Linked DNA regions of Macaca mulatta. The main gene of each other region encodes a partner of the protein of the gene in region 2 in a complex. Links are inferred from orthologs where the notes say so. Each region holds a gene or a part of one and is shown on either strand. Other genes may lie near its edges.

Evidence for each region.
Region 1: the proteins of CNOT1 (region 2) and ZFP36 are in contact, whole or in part, in a crystal structure (PDB 4J8S), measured with the Homo sapiens proteins. The link is inferred for Macaca mulatta from reciprocal best matches to the Homo sapiens genes CNOT1 and ZFP36. Residues at the interface, in NP_057368.3 of Homo sapiens: Gln821, Glu835, Asp845, Ala848, Asn849, Phe852, Gln853, Tyr856, Asn894, Glu897, Glu898, Phe901, Gln904, Tyr905, Pro906, Glu909; in NP_003398.3 of Homo sapiens: Arg314, Arg315, Leu316, Pro317, Ile318, Phe319, Arg321, Ile322, Ser323, Val324, Ser325.
Region 3: the proteins of CNOT1 (region 2) and CNOT2 are in contact, whole or in part, in a crystal structure (PDB 5FU7), measured with the Homo sapiens proteins. The link is inferred for Macaca mulatta from reciprocal best matches to the Homo sapiens genes CNOT1 and CNOT2. Residues at the interface, in NP_057368.3 of Homo sapiens: His1864, Ser1865, Ala1866, Ala1867, Arg1870, Asp1871, Gln1917, Pro1921, Ala1923, Pro1925, Ala2003, Tyr2036, Leu2039, Glu2040, Ser2043, Arg2045, Ile2048, Ala2049, Ala2053, His2054, Leu2079, Leu2084, Lys2086, Gln2089, Ile2090, Leu2091, Tyr2092, Lys2093, Gly2094, Leu2096; in NP_001186231.1 of Homo sapiens: Met350, Val351, Asp353, Gln354, Phe355, Gly356, Met357, Ile358, Gly359, Leu360, Leu361, Phe363, Ile364, Arg365, Gly372, Met373, Val374, Leu376, Ala377, Leu378, Gly379, Ser380, Asp381, Leu382, Leu385, Leu387, Asn388, Leu389, Ser391, Glu393.

What each region holds. Positions count from the first base shown.
Region 1 is NC_133424.1:50,503,679-50,508,186, forward strand, and holds ZFP36 (mRNA decay activator protein ZFP36), read left to right. Parts: upstream 1-1,333; 5' UTR 1,334-1,375; coding exon 1,376-1,417; intron 1,418-2,226; coding exon 2,227-3,183; 3' UTR 3,184-3,907; downstream 3,908-4,508. UniProt on the Homo sapiens protein: Zinc-finger RNA-binding protein that destabilizes several cytoplasmic AU-rich element (ARE)-containing mRNA transcripts by promoting their poly(A) tail removal or deadenylation, and hence provide a mechanism for attenuating protein synthesis.
Region 2 is NC_133425.1:54,241,476-54,246,063, forward strand, and holds the start of CNOT1 (CCR4-NOT transcription complex subunit 1), read right to left. Parts: upstream 2,960-4,588; 5' UTR 2,833-2,959; intron 1-2,832.
Region 3 is NC_133416.1:77,323,353-77,327,873, reverse strand, and holds the start of CNOT2 (CCR4-NOT transcription complex subunit 2), read right to left. Parts: upstream 3,287-4,521; 5' UTR 3,215-3,286; coding exon of another isoform or gene 2,835-3,214; 5' UTR 2,804-2,834; intron 1-2,803. Other genes in the region: uncharacterized protein LOC144332960, read left to right, coding at 2,835-2,972, 3,076-3,214, 3,373-3,443. UniProt on the Homo sapiens protein: Component of the CCR4-NOT complex which is one of the major cellular mRNA deadenylases and is linked to various cellular processes including bulk mRNA degradation, miRNA-mediated repression, translational repression during translational initiation and general transcription regulation.

The DNA.
Region 1 (4,508 bases), on a different chromosome or scaffold from region 2:
AACTTCACTTTGGTTTCCTCCTGCCTTAAATAGGCATACCACCTAGCATTAGGATGAATGTGCGTAAAGCATTTAGAACTCAGCCTAGGTGAGTTCTCCTTAACTCAGCCTAGAAGAGATCATCTGCCTGAGGATGAGGGGCTAGAGCCGCCCTGTGACTTGGGAAAGGAGGCCCCTTTTCAGCCTTGCTAGGTATCCTGGACCCCAACCCACTCACTCACCCACCCAACCCCAGCAAGTGGGGAGAGGGAGAGCAGTTCTGGTCTCATCTGTCTGGGCTGTTTAGGAGTGAGACAACACAAGGCAGGCAGTTCTCAGAGAATTCCCCTCCAAGGCCTGCCGGCTCTTTCTTGGCACTTTGCTTGGCAGATTTCTTTCTGTAAGTGCTTGTTTCTCACAGTCTTTCTCCTTTTTGTCCAGTTTTTCTTTTTAATTTTTTTAAATAGTATTTTTTGTAGAGATGGGATCTCACTGTTGCCCAGGCTGATCTTGAACTCCTGATCTCAGGTACTCCACCTGCCTCACCCTCTCAAAGTACTGGGATTGGCCGGGCTTGCTGGTTCGCACCTGTAATTCCAGCTCTTTGGGAGGCCGAGGTGGGAGGATCCCTTCAGTCTCGGAGGCGGAGGCGAAGATCACCCTGGGCAACATAGGGAAACCCCGTCTCTCAAAAAAATAATAATGAAGAAAAGAAAGAAAGAAAGAAAAACACAAAAAGTGCTGGGATCACAGGCGTAAACCACTTGCGCTCAGCCCCTTTCTGTTTCTTTTTGTGATCCTCCCAACCCTCTTCTCCCTCTGAATCTGTCTCTGGGACTGTCTCTGTCTCCCCACCGTCCCTCCCCTGCTCACCCTATCTCTCCCTGTATGTGTCTCTCGGTGTGTGTGTGTCTCTGTTTTTCTCTCTGCCTCTCTCCCTGTCTGTCTGTACCCCTCTGCGTGTCTCTCCCCGCCCCCGTCCGTCTGTGTCGCACGCGCACCCCCATCGGGCCTCTGCCCTTGTCAATTGCCCCTGAAGCCCTGCCCCCACCTCCGCCCCAGTTTCCTTCTACACGCCTCAGTCTCCAGCTTTGAAAACTGGGCAGGCGCCCCCCCGATCCGCACCCCCACCCCGACCCCCACCCTTTCCCCACGCACTCCCCGCCCGGTCGCGGCTGTCCACCGGCCAAGCTCAGGCGCGTCCTGGCCCAGGGCCGGGCGGAAGGGAACCAGTCCAGGGCCAGCCGGGCTGCGCCCGGGGCGCGCGTCCGGGAAGCGCCCCTCCTGCCCCGCCCCTGGCCCAGGCCCCGCCCCGTGCTTGCTGTTTAAGTAGCCGGCTCTCCCTGCCAGCCTCAGCCTGACTTCAGCGCTCCGACTCTCGGCCGACTCCCCTCTAATGGCCAACCGCTACACCATGGATCTCACTGCCATCTACGAGGTGAGTCCCCACCGCACGGCACCCCCGGTACCTGCACACTTGACTCCCCAGCTCTCTAGCGCCGCAAACTCCATCCCGGGACGCTTGCCTCTCTTCTCCAACTGGGGCTTCCTAGCGCCCTGCCCTCCAGCCTGGGGCCCCTGCCTCCCGCTCAGACCAGCTTGGTGATTTGGAGGTGAAAATGGAGCCCACGACTCCCGGCTCTTGGCCCAAACATGGGTGGGGCGGCCCGTGCGAGTGGAAAGTCGGAGAACTTTTCTCAGACCTAGGCTGCCTGGAGGCGGAAGTGGCCCCCACACCTGGCTCACCCCTAGTCGTTGCTGAGGGCGTGGTTTTGCGCGGAGGCGTCTCTGGGGCTGAAGTCTCAGGGTTGGGGGGATCCGACTTCTGTGTCTCCAGTCCCTGACCGTAGTTCTCTGAGAACCCTAAAACCGAAGCCATCCGGACTCCTGGGTCAACTTTGCCCGGTTCCTCCAGTTGTGAAACTGGAGATCCTGACGCGTGGGTCATATCTGGGGAGGGCAAGAGACCCAAAATTGGGAAAAAGTGGTGTGCCCTGACTTCGGGGCCCCCTCTTGGTCCAGCCGGGAAAGCCGGGATTCCTGGGTCCCTCGGGATAAGGCCTCGGTCGTGGGTAAACTCAGAACCTCCAAATCTGGGTTCCTGGCATCCGGAACCCAGGGGTTTTTGCAGGCGGGTGGGGCTCAGGCCAGGAGCCCACAAACCGGCCTGGCAAGCTCTAGTTCCCTGCAGCTGGGGTGGGGCGTCGCCCTGCATTTTCGGGTACCTTAACCGACCCATTTCCGCAGAGCCTCCTGTCGCTGAGCCCTGACGTGCCGGTGCCATCCGACCATGGAGGGACTGAGTCCAGCCCAGGCTGGGGCTCCTCGGGACTCTGGAGCCTGAGCCCCTCCGACTCCAGCCCGTCTGGGGTCACCTCCCGCCTGCCTGGCCGCTCCACCAGCCTGGTAGAAGGCCGCAGCTGTGGCTGGGTGCCCCCACCCCCTGGCTTCGCACCGCTGGCTCCCCGCCTGGGCCCCGAGCTGTCACCCTCACCCACTTCGCCCACTGCGACCTCCACCACCCCCTCGCGCTACAAGACTGAGCTATGTCGGACCTTCTCAGAGAGTGGACGCTGCCGCTACGGGGCCAAGTGCCAGTTTGCCCATGGCCTGGGCGAGCTGCGCCAGGCCAATCGCCACCCCAAGTACAAGACAGAACTCTGCCACAAGTTCTACCTCCAGGGCCGCTGCCCCTATGGCTCTCGCTGCCACTTCATCCACAACCCCAGCGAAGACCTGGCGGCCCCGGGCCACCCTCCTGTGCTTCGCCAGAGCATCAGCTTCTCCGGCCTGCCCTCTGGCCGCCGGACCTCACCACCACCACCAGGCCTGGTCGGCCCTTCCCTGTCCTCCAGCTCCTTCTCACCCTCCAGCTCCCCGCCACCACCTGGGGACCTTCCACTGTCACCCTCTGCCTTCTCTGCTGCCCCTGGTACCCCCGTAGCTCGAAGAGACCCCAGCCCACTCTGTTGCCCCTCCTGCCGAAGGGCCACTCCTGTCAGCGTCTGGGGGCCCTTGGGTGGCCTGGTTCGGACCCCCTCTGTACAGTCCCTGGGATCCGACCCTGATGAATATGCCAGCAGCGGCAGCAGCCTGGGGGGCTCTGACTCTCCTGTCTTCGAGGCGGGGGTTTTTGCACCACCCCAGCCCGCGGCAGCCCCCCGGCGACTCCCCATCTTCAATCGCATCTCTGTGTCTGAGTGACAAGTGACTGCCCGGTCAGATCAGCTGGATCTCAGCGGGGAGCCACGTCTGTTGCACTGTGGTCTCTGCATGGACCCTAGGGCTATGGGGACTTGAGGGACAGTAATCAAGTAATCAAGTAACCCCCTTTTCCAGAATGCATTAACCCACTCCCCTGACCTCACACTGGGGCAGGTCCCCAAGTGTGCAAGCTCAGTATTCATGGTGGTGGGGGATAGAGTGTCTTCTGAGGTTTTTGACCAAAAAAAAAAAAAAAAAAAATGTAGCATATTTAAGGGAGGCAGTGAGCCCTCTCCCCACCTCTTCCCTGCCCAAATCTGTCTCATAGAATCTTACGTGCTGTGAATAATAGGCCTTCACTGCCCCTCCAGTGTTTATAGACCTGAGGTTCCAGTGTCTCCTGGTAACTGGAACCTCTCCTGAGGGGGAATCCTGGTGCTCAAATTACCCTCCAAAAGCAAGTAGCCAAAGCCGTTGCCAAACCCCATCCATAAATCAATGGACCCTTTATTTATGACGACTTTATTTATTCTAATATGATTTTATAGTATTTATATATATTGGGTCGTCTGCTTCCCTTGTATTTTTCTTTCTCTTTTTTTGTAATATTGGAAACGACGGTATAATTATAAGTAGACTATAATATATTTAGTAATATATATTGTTACCTTAAAAGTCTATTTTTGTGTTTTGGGGCATTTTTAAATAAACAATCTGAGTGTAAGCTGGGATCCTGGCTTCTTCGCGGTCTAGAGACAGGAATGGGGAGGTAGAGGGTGACTTTTTGGAAGCTGGGTGCAGTCAACTCTGCTTCTCCGAGCCTCGCGGCGCTTACCTGGCAGGAAGTGACGTCACCGGGCCTGGCAGTTCACCTGAAAGGGTGGGACCAGGTGAGGTCACCAGATGGGAACCGGGGGAGCCAGTTCCCGGGCGTCGGGGGCGCTGCGCTCCCGTCCTGCCGGGCTCCTTGACCTAGCTCTCGGGCGGGCGCGGGCGGGGACTGAATGTTTCCGTCCCCACGGGGCCGCGGGAGGCGGGAGGCGGGAGGGGCCGGGTGGGGAGGACGGAATGTGCCGGGGCGCGGGCCCAGAGCGAGCGGGGGCGGGGGCGGGGGCGGGCGCGGGGCGGGGCAGCCTGGGGTAGCGGAACGCGTTCGGGACTAGGGGTTCCGGGGGGGCTTCGACACCTTCTGGATGTTGGGGAAGCGGGTTTTAGGGTCTCAAGAGTTTAGGGTCTCAACATTTGGGAGTCTCAGATTGTGTCCCCTAGCGCTTTAGACTCTAGACCCCTGGTGGCTCGGAGTGGCAGATTTCTGGCCACCGGGA
Region 2 (4,588 bases):
GAGGTTAAGAGTTCGAGACCATCCTGGCCAACATGGTGAAACCCCATCTCTATTAAAATACAAAAATCAGCTGGGCATGGTGGCGGGCGCCAGTAGTCCCAGCTACTCAGGGGGCCAAGTCAGGAGAATTGCTTGAACCCTGGAGGCAGAGGTTGCAGTGAACCGAGATTGCGCACCACTGCACTCCAGCCTAGCGACAGAGCGAGGCTCCATCTTAAAAAAAAAGTTTATCATAAACAGATCAGAATCTATCCAAAAACATACTCAGAAAAAGTAAAATGCAACATAATTTGAAATCAGACTTTAAAGCATGTTTTGAAAAGATGGCAAGCATTTCCATTTGTTTTCATAGTTTTTTTTAATGACTTGACTCCAAATAAGGATGTCTTATTACTTAGCTTGACAACATTTATATATATATATATTTTTTTTTTTTTTTTTGAGACGGAGTCTCGCTCTGTCGCCCAGGCTGGAGTGCAGTGGCCGGATCTCAGCTCACTGCAAGCTCCGCTTCCCGGGTTCCCGCCATTCTCCTGCCTCAGCCTCCCGAGTAGCTGGGACCACAGGCGCCGCCACCTCGCCCGGCTAATTTTTTGTGTTTTTAGTAGAGACGGGGTTTCGCCGTGTTAGCCAGGATGGTCTCGATCTCCTGACCTTGTGATCCGCCCGTCTCGGCCTCCCAAAGTGCTGGGATTACAGGCTTGAGCCACCGCGCCCGGCCGACAACATTTATATTAAAGAGACTAGGATCTAAACCCCCAGGAGAAATTTAGAAACCAGAAAAAAAGAAAATGAACCCAGGGTGGTAAGCTGGGAACCAAAAAGAACGTATTTCAATTCTTTTCCACCATAATGCCACAAAACTGTACCTTAAAACTTCTAAGATTACAATCTTAGGTAAGAAAAGGAAATATTTTCAGTTACAAATAGACACGTCTTTGTGCCTTGATTCTAGACTTTTTTTTTTTTTTTTTTTGAGACAAAGTCTCCCTGTCCCCCAGGCTGGAGTGCAGTGGCTCTGTCTCGGCTCACTGCAACCTCCACCTCCCGGGTTCAAGCGATTCTCCCGCCTCAGCCTCCCAAGTAGCTGGGATTACAGGCACCTGCCACCACACCTGACTAATTTTTGTATTTCTAGTAGAGACGAGGTTTCACCATGTTGGCCAGGCTGGTCTCGAACTCCTGACCTCTGGTGATTCACCCACCTCGGCCTCCATAAGTACTGGGACTACAGGCGTGAACCATCGCACCCAGTCGATTCTAGACTTGTTTCCACTATGACTTGGGGGACTCACACTTGTTGAAAAGGGATCAACTGCCCAAACTAGTTTTATCAACATGCTACCATTTCACTGAAAACACAGCTAGTCACCTAAAACCATGTATCATCAATGCACGTTCTCCTTAGACAAGGTAACAATTTGCAGTGTCCTAAGACATAATTATTTAAACTGTTACCACATGTCTTCTTAATAGCTAAAATACTCTGCTGCCAATCTCTAAAAGGGTAGGAATGCCAACCTGGACCACAGACCACTTAAGTATTAAACCCACGTACCCATACAAAAAAATTGTTCTTAATCTGTTTCATCTTCTTCCTAATATTTTACTTGCCCTCCCTCTTTGTTTTAATACATATATTCCCTATTCCTATCAAGGAGGCTGTCATAAGGAAAACTTTCGGCATTTTTTCAAACAGTATAATTATATTCACTCAATTATTGACTTTAAAAAAAACCCAAGTAGTCACAGGCGATCGAATTGTAGAGAAATCGGCAGGGTAGGTTAAGCATTGTTGCTCAGTTTTCAGGAAGAAAACAGACCTTAATTGATTAGAGTCCTAAGAAATGGGACATTTGATTGAAGTAACTTCATGGGAAAAGTTTGTCATAAAGTTTATTTTAAATACAACATTTTCAAACACACAGATGTCAAGCATTCTTTTTTAATCTACAAAGCTTACTCCTCGTGGAGTTAGTATCGGTGAGCCCTCTTGGGTAAATTCTGCAGAGGAGGTGGTACTGAAGAAGTATTATTTGTGTTTGGCCTTAAGTACCTCTACAAGATCTGCAGTGGATCTCATCAGCCTTGAGGCCTACAAGTGTTCAGCTCACTAGCAGGACACTTGTCCTGGGTGAGCAGGGCCGCCACTACTGCAGACACCGGACCGAGTAGGTGGGGGCCGACTTCAAAGAAAGTGTGAGCGCCCAGGCGCGCGAGTGGAACAAAACCTGTAGCAAGTAATAAGGAAGTGCTCGCTCCCGCCCGCCCTTCCCATCCGGGGACACCCGAAACCTGGGGGGCTTTGACAACGTGCTGGGGGCGTCAGAGGGGGAGAGTGGCAGCTCCGAGTACACGGAGAAGAACTGGAAACGTGCAAAAACTCCAAACACGGTGCCCCTCGCCCGAAGCGCTAGGCCTCGGGAGCCGATGCCCACTGCAACCATCCGGGAGCAGAGACAGACAGAGGAGTTGAGGAGCTCGTGGAGGTCTCAGGAGGGTGCAACCCGCGCGAAGCCAGGCCCAGCGACACGAACTGCCGCCACTGCCGCCCCCTGAGCCTCCAGGCCCGGGACAGAGACCACCCCGGGTCTCACCCCGAGCTCTGCTCTCCGCTCCCTGGAGCCTTCTGGCTGGCCTCTAATTTTCAGAGCGCGAAGCCTCCGAGAGCCGTGCGGAGAAGAGTCCGCCCTCTCCCGCCTCGTCCCAATTCCCCGTCCCGGCTGCCTCTCACTCCCTGGAGCTCCGGGAAACGCTTCCAGTGGCCCCAGGTCCACCCCTATTCCTCTTCCCACCGAAACTCGCGTTCCCAAGCTGTCACCGCCACCCTACCGTAGCCCCTGACGCCAGCCCGCCTCACCTCAGGCGGCTCCGGCAGCGCTGGACACAGGAAACTCCTGGGTCCCCGACTCCGGCTCTCCTCGACCCCCTCTTCGGTTAACTCCGCTTGTTTCTCTACAAAATGGCGCCGGAGGTCGCGCGCTCACGTCGCGGCCTTTCCCCTCCCCGTTCCCATTTCATCATTCGCTGCCCGCCCGAGGAGGGATGGCCCCAGTGCCAGCCAATGGCCGCGCCCCGCCTGTGGCTTCTAGCCAATCACCGACAGGTGCCCGCGGATTTAAACCAATCACACTCTATCACTTGCAGAAGTCGAGGGAGAAACCAGGCTCCTGCTAGCAACTACCAATCCGGACTCTTACTTCGCGGACTTTGGCCAATTGCCGCTCACCAGGCCCAGTGCACCAGAGTCAGAGCCCTCGCGCCTGCGCTCGAGGCGAGGGCCAATAAGGAGACGCTGGTAACTTCGATTTGGGGCTTCACGTACTTCCCACCTGCCCTCGAGGGCTGCAACCAGTGGGGCTTGGCATTGCCTTTGAGGAACAATAAATTATGGAAGGGGTCCATAACGCCTCGCCACCCTGCGCGGGAACTACTTTGAGTTACAGTGAAACAGCCTTCCTCCACTTTCCTTCCTCTTTCGAAATGTCACGATCCAGCAGACTTCGGGGATTCCCAACCGAAACATTCCCCTCCCCTAGTGTCCCTTTGGCGGGGAACGCCAGCCAGAAAGCAAGCCAGGTTGCGACTAGAGTTGGGGCGCTTTGCATCCTGGGATGTGTAGTCGCGCTCCCCTACCCCGTTCCCATCTCAGAAGTAATGCGACTTCTTCCGTCACTGGCTGCGACGTAGAAGGAGCAGTGCATGCTGGGGGATGTAGTCACCCAGGTGGCCACCTTGTCCTCGCTTGCTTCGCGTTGGTCAAGGGAACTTTGTTTTAGTTCTGCCTATTGAAGAAAGGACACCTTCCAGAGACGCCTTCCAGAGACGTAGGAGACGCAAGTTCTCTTACTGGCTTAAGTCCTAGAAGCCTTCTAAGAAAGGATACCCATGTCCTTCGCTCTCAAGAGAAAAAGCATAGAGACATATTTTGCTTTGGTTTGTTTCTTATCTATGATAGTTGGTAAGATTTTATACTCACCTGTACCCCAAAGAGAAAGGATTGGGAAGGAAGTGTTGACTGGTTAGCTGTATTACCTTTTGAAATTAAGTCCGGGCACGGTGGCTCACGCTTGTAATCCCAGCACTTTGGGAGGCTGAGGCGGGTGGATCACGAGGTCAGGAGATCGAGACCATCCTGGCTAACAACGGTGAAACCCCATCTCTACTAAAATGCAAAAAAAAAAATAGCCGGGCGTGGTGGCTCAGGCCTGTAATCCCAGCTACTTAGGAGGCGACGCAGGAGAATCGCTTGAACCCGGGAGGCGTGGCTTGCAATGAGCAGAGATCGCGCCACTGCACTCCAGCCTGAGCAACAGAACGAGACTCTATCTCAAAAAAAAAAAAAAAAAAAGGCCAAGCGCGGTAGCTCGCGCCTGTAATCCCAGCACTTTGGGAGGCCGGGCGTAGTGGCGGGCGCCTGTAGTCCCAGCTACTCGGGAGGCTGAGGCAGGAGAATGGTGTGAACCCTGGAGGGGGAGGTTGCAGTGAGCCGAGATTGTGCCACTGCACTTCAGCCTGGGCGACTGAGCAAGACTCCATCTCCAGAAAAAAAAAAAGAAAGAAAGAAAAAGAAATTCAGACCTATCCC
Region 3 (4,521 bases), on a different chromosome or scaffold from region 2:
TCCAGGTAACAAATAACATCATAAATGTTGGGTTGTATATTTTCCTAAAATCTCAGGAAAATTTTAACAAATTTTAACAACAAAAAAACAGCTATTGTTTAACATTGCTTTTAAAGAGCAAAAAAATAAATTGTAAGCTAAGTGTTTTTCACTAGTCTATTAATGCTTACTCATTATTTCACATATACATGTGAAGCATACATTCTATTTACATTATCAGAAAATCTTATGAAGTCTGTCACTAGAAAACATAAAACTATAACTTATACAGGTTGTAAAAAATTCTGTAATGGTCTTTCAAAATATAGGTACTTTTAATACCAGTATCTACTAAAGGAATACAAATGAGAACTGGGTTAGAAGCACTTCTAATAAAATCTATTCATACACCTGAAAATTTTATTTACTTTTGAACAAATAATTTTCAGGTTATAATAACTGTAAAGCATCTCTGAAAAATCAAAAAGTGCAACACCCAAAGTTATAAAGGAAAAACAAAGGTAATTAGTCCTTGTAGGGAGGTATATGGGAAGTTGTATCATTCTGAATTTTTTTGTTTTTGTTTTTTGCCCAGCATCAGAAGATAAGCCACATTCTGAGTTTTATCTTCAAGATCAGGTACTTGGGGATATAAATCACTCACACACAAGCATTTTGCCCTCCTTTTCCACCATATAAATTAAAGTATTATAGAAACTGAAAAATTGTATAGGCTGTATGTGTTGCTTGGTTAAACAAACAGGCAATTCTCATTCCCTGAGATCAGATTAGGTTACAGATATCTCTACATTGTATACTTAAAAAAAGATTCCTGCCAACAAATGTTTACATTAACTTATTTGTATTGATGAAGTACTAATTCAGATACAAAAAAAAAAAACTTTAGCAGAGTTTCTCACTTCCTCTCTAAAATACAAAGTATTCACAAAAGTTATTACAATTCAAGCTCTCAGAAAATATGAGAGAAAGATACCTTTTCTACAATAAGGATCTTACAAAGTCAAGAAATAAGTGAGTAGAGTGGAACATGTTTTGTCTTTAAGTGTATTTTGTATTTCTTTTTCTTTAGATTTAACATTATAAAAGAACTACAAACTAAACAAATTCAACATACAGAGCTTACTAATTATCTTGGTCCATTATAAAACATTTCAATGAACTGGGCTCTGAATATAGACACTTAACCATTTCAGCCCACTATGATTCTTAACCCTTTCAATTCGCAATCTTACAAAATTATAAGAGACATATTCATTGACGTTTGGAAAGAACTGTTGTCAATTATGCCAAGCATTCCCAAACTCAACATAAACCTTGTATGTAAATGGATACTTTAAAATTTCTATCTCATCCCTCACCCCATACTTTATTCTTTCCACTTATCTTGCTTCAAAAGGGAAATCAAGAGTCACACTTATGATTCCGAGCTCTAAAAATTCCTAATATCAAGCATGAAGTATGTTCAACTTTGGAACCTTAAATTTAAGTTGGCTTCCCTCGTGAACTGACTTTGAGTACTTTTTACCATTTCGCCAAGAATCTAAGGGTTCAAATCAGTGTACTTAATTACGAAGAACTGCCCAAACGATTTTAAAAGGAGTGGGATTCTCTGACCAAGAGTTTTATGAAAATGAAACAAAATATGTTGCACTCAGTCTTCCGGATGTTGAAAAGTGAAGATGTCTCCAAGGATTCGAAGGAAGTTGTTTAGGTTCCTTCTGAGAGGGTGGTACCCTTATGTAAGACTTTAGTGGTGGTAATACCGTACCTACAGGCCTGGAATAAATATAAAGTCTAAAACCTTGGAAATACTTTGTATAAAAGAAAACTACAATTCACTTTTGCTAAGGACCACAGTCACCAAGAGTCATCAGCTTTCTCCCGGACAGACAACAGTGCCTCAATTAAGAACTACAAAGGCCTCTTTTAACCCTACTCTTTTCTTCTGTGAAACTTTTAAGTGAGACCTACAACAGCAAAAGGTGGAGAGGCCCCTGCGGAAGTAGAAAACCAGGGCTTGTAACTTCACAGACAGAAGCATCTGTGGTTCCTCCGCCGCCCCAGGACCATCCGGACTCAGTCTACGACACTACGGAAGCTTCACCTTCCTGGTGCGGTGGCAGAGGCAGCATCGCAGTTGCATTCCTTCTCCCTCCACCATGCACAGCCTTCGGTATCCCAGGGCCTGCAGGCTCCTGACACCCGTTAGCCAGTCCAGTGTCTCCCATCTGACACTTACACACACACTAACAGAAATACACATAACTGGCAGATGATATACGTGTATTGAGAATGTAAGGAGCCAGAGACAGCACCAGCTGCTGGGAAGGCGGCAGAGCCGTCTAAAGCGGGCTCGAGCTCCTCAGCCACGGCCGCAGCCGCCTTCTCTTCTCCCCCAGGAAGCAGCGCGGCGGTAGCGGCTCCTCCGCGCTGGCGGGAGCCTAGGGGAGTGGAGTCTGGGGAAGCCCCGCCACTCGCGGATGGGACCGGGCCTAGGATCTGGAGCTGCTGCTGCAGCGGCCCGAGTACAGCGACGCTTTACGTCCCGTCCACCACCACCCCCATACACACCCCCTCCCTCCCTCCACCGCCGCCACCCCCCCTCCCCGCCCGCTCCGCTCTCCCTCTCTCGATTGGAGCCGAGACAAAAGCAACGGGAAGCGGCGGGCCGGGACGCTACCGGCGGACCCCGGGCGCGGCCGGACCGGCCCCGGGGCATTCCCCCGCCTTGCGGGGGCCCCGAATCCGCCGCCCCCGCCGCGCGCCCCGCTGCCAGACTTCCGAAAATTTGCCAAAAACTCACCGCATGAATTTTCTTGTCCCGCGGATCCAAGATGGCGACGTATCCACCGCGGAGGCTGCTGGGAGCAAGACCTTTACCCTCTGACCGCCGCCGTGACCCCCGTCGCTCCGGCTTCCCTCCGGGTGGCGGCGGAAGGTGGGAGCGGCGACTGCAAAGCAGCAGCGATGGGGTGGGTAGGCCGCTTCCAGCGCGCTTCTAACAAGGTGGGGAGAGGCGCTTCACTCCCCTACCGCCCTTACCGCTGCTCCGTCTTGTCTCCCATCGACTCACAGGGAGGCTTGCTGCTCCTCCGCGGCCGTTACAGAGAGCGGGGCTTCTGCGGCCGCTGCCGTTTTCCTGGGGCCAGGTTGCTTCGCAGAGGGCTCTGGCCCCAAGTCCGAGGGGGACCGCAGGGTCCAGGGGCGATGAATGGTGAGGTGGCTTCAGTCCGCCCTCCCCGGGGATGCTGAGCGTGTTCGTGTTTGTGTTTGTGTTGGACACCCCGCCCCCGCACGTCCGCCTCCTCACTCCTCCCCTCCTCACTCCCGCCACCTGGGCGAATTTAACCGTGTCCCCGTTTCCTCCCTTAGCTCCCGCAACCTCCGGAGCTTGTGCGCGTACTTCAGGGACCGGCACCACGTCACCGTCACCTTCTGAGTAGTGAGTTCCCCTCTGATGAAACCACTGGTGTATTTACTCACCATCCTCACCTTTTTTTTTCCCCCCCCCAACCTGGTGGAAGGAAGTACATAATGGAGAGCAAGTTTTTAAAGCACGGTCGTGTCGTGTGAACTTGCTCTAGCCAAATTAGGTTTATAGCACTTTTTCTGACTCTCATTCCCCCCAGTCTCCACATAAACAAGAGTGACCAGCTGGGTCATCCGCAAGACCATTTGAAATTATTGTGGCTTGGGTGGAAACTTAAAGGAGTGAAGTATCTGCTTTCCAGAAAAATCGTTGTCGTTCAAAGTGAAATTAAACTTTTCTTTGCAATAATTCCCCTTTATTTCTTTGTATGTCTGTAAACTCTTCACTTTTTTTGTAATTACTAGACATTTCGTTCTTAAGAGCCTCTGCATGTGTGTTTTGGAATTGTGTAGCTTCATAATGTGAAAAATTGTCCTTTTCTATTTGAGTAATTAGTTAATTTGAAGTAAATAAAATTTCTACTTCACTTGGTTGTTTCTTTTAAAAATTTACCTTTTCCTTACAAAAGAATCACTGTAATCCAATTTAAATTTGTCATTGAAGGTCAAAAATAAGAAATAGCAAGAAACACAACATACTATAAAATAAAAGGTAACTGTCATGTTTTTGAAGGTAAGGTGTTTTGACATAGCAGACATTGTGTGAATTTATTTCAACTCCTAGTGGTACTGGTGTAGACAGAAAATGTTTTACTTGGTTATTCATTTCATCAAACATTCTACTTCATTTTTTTTTTTTTTTCCACTTCAGGAAAATTCGAGGAGGAACAACACATTGGTGTCTTTCCTTCTTTTCTCCCCGTCTTCTCCAAATAGTCCCTTCCTCTTTCTGCTTTCTCCTCCTCTCATGTTAACATCTTCAACCATAAGATGGTGTGTTAAAAGATTGGTTATACCTCTTTAGAATGACTTCCAGAGGGTGTAAGTCTGATTTGAGAGTTTTATTACCTTGAGTATTTTACTGGAAGAGATAGAACAACAAACATTTTTATAATAAACGTGTGGGTTAGGAGTGTTAGGAGAAAATACATT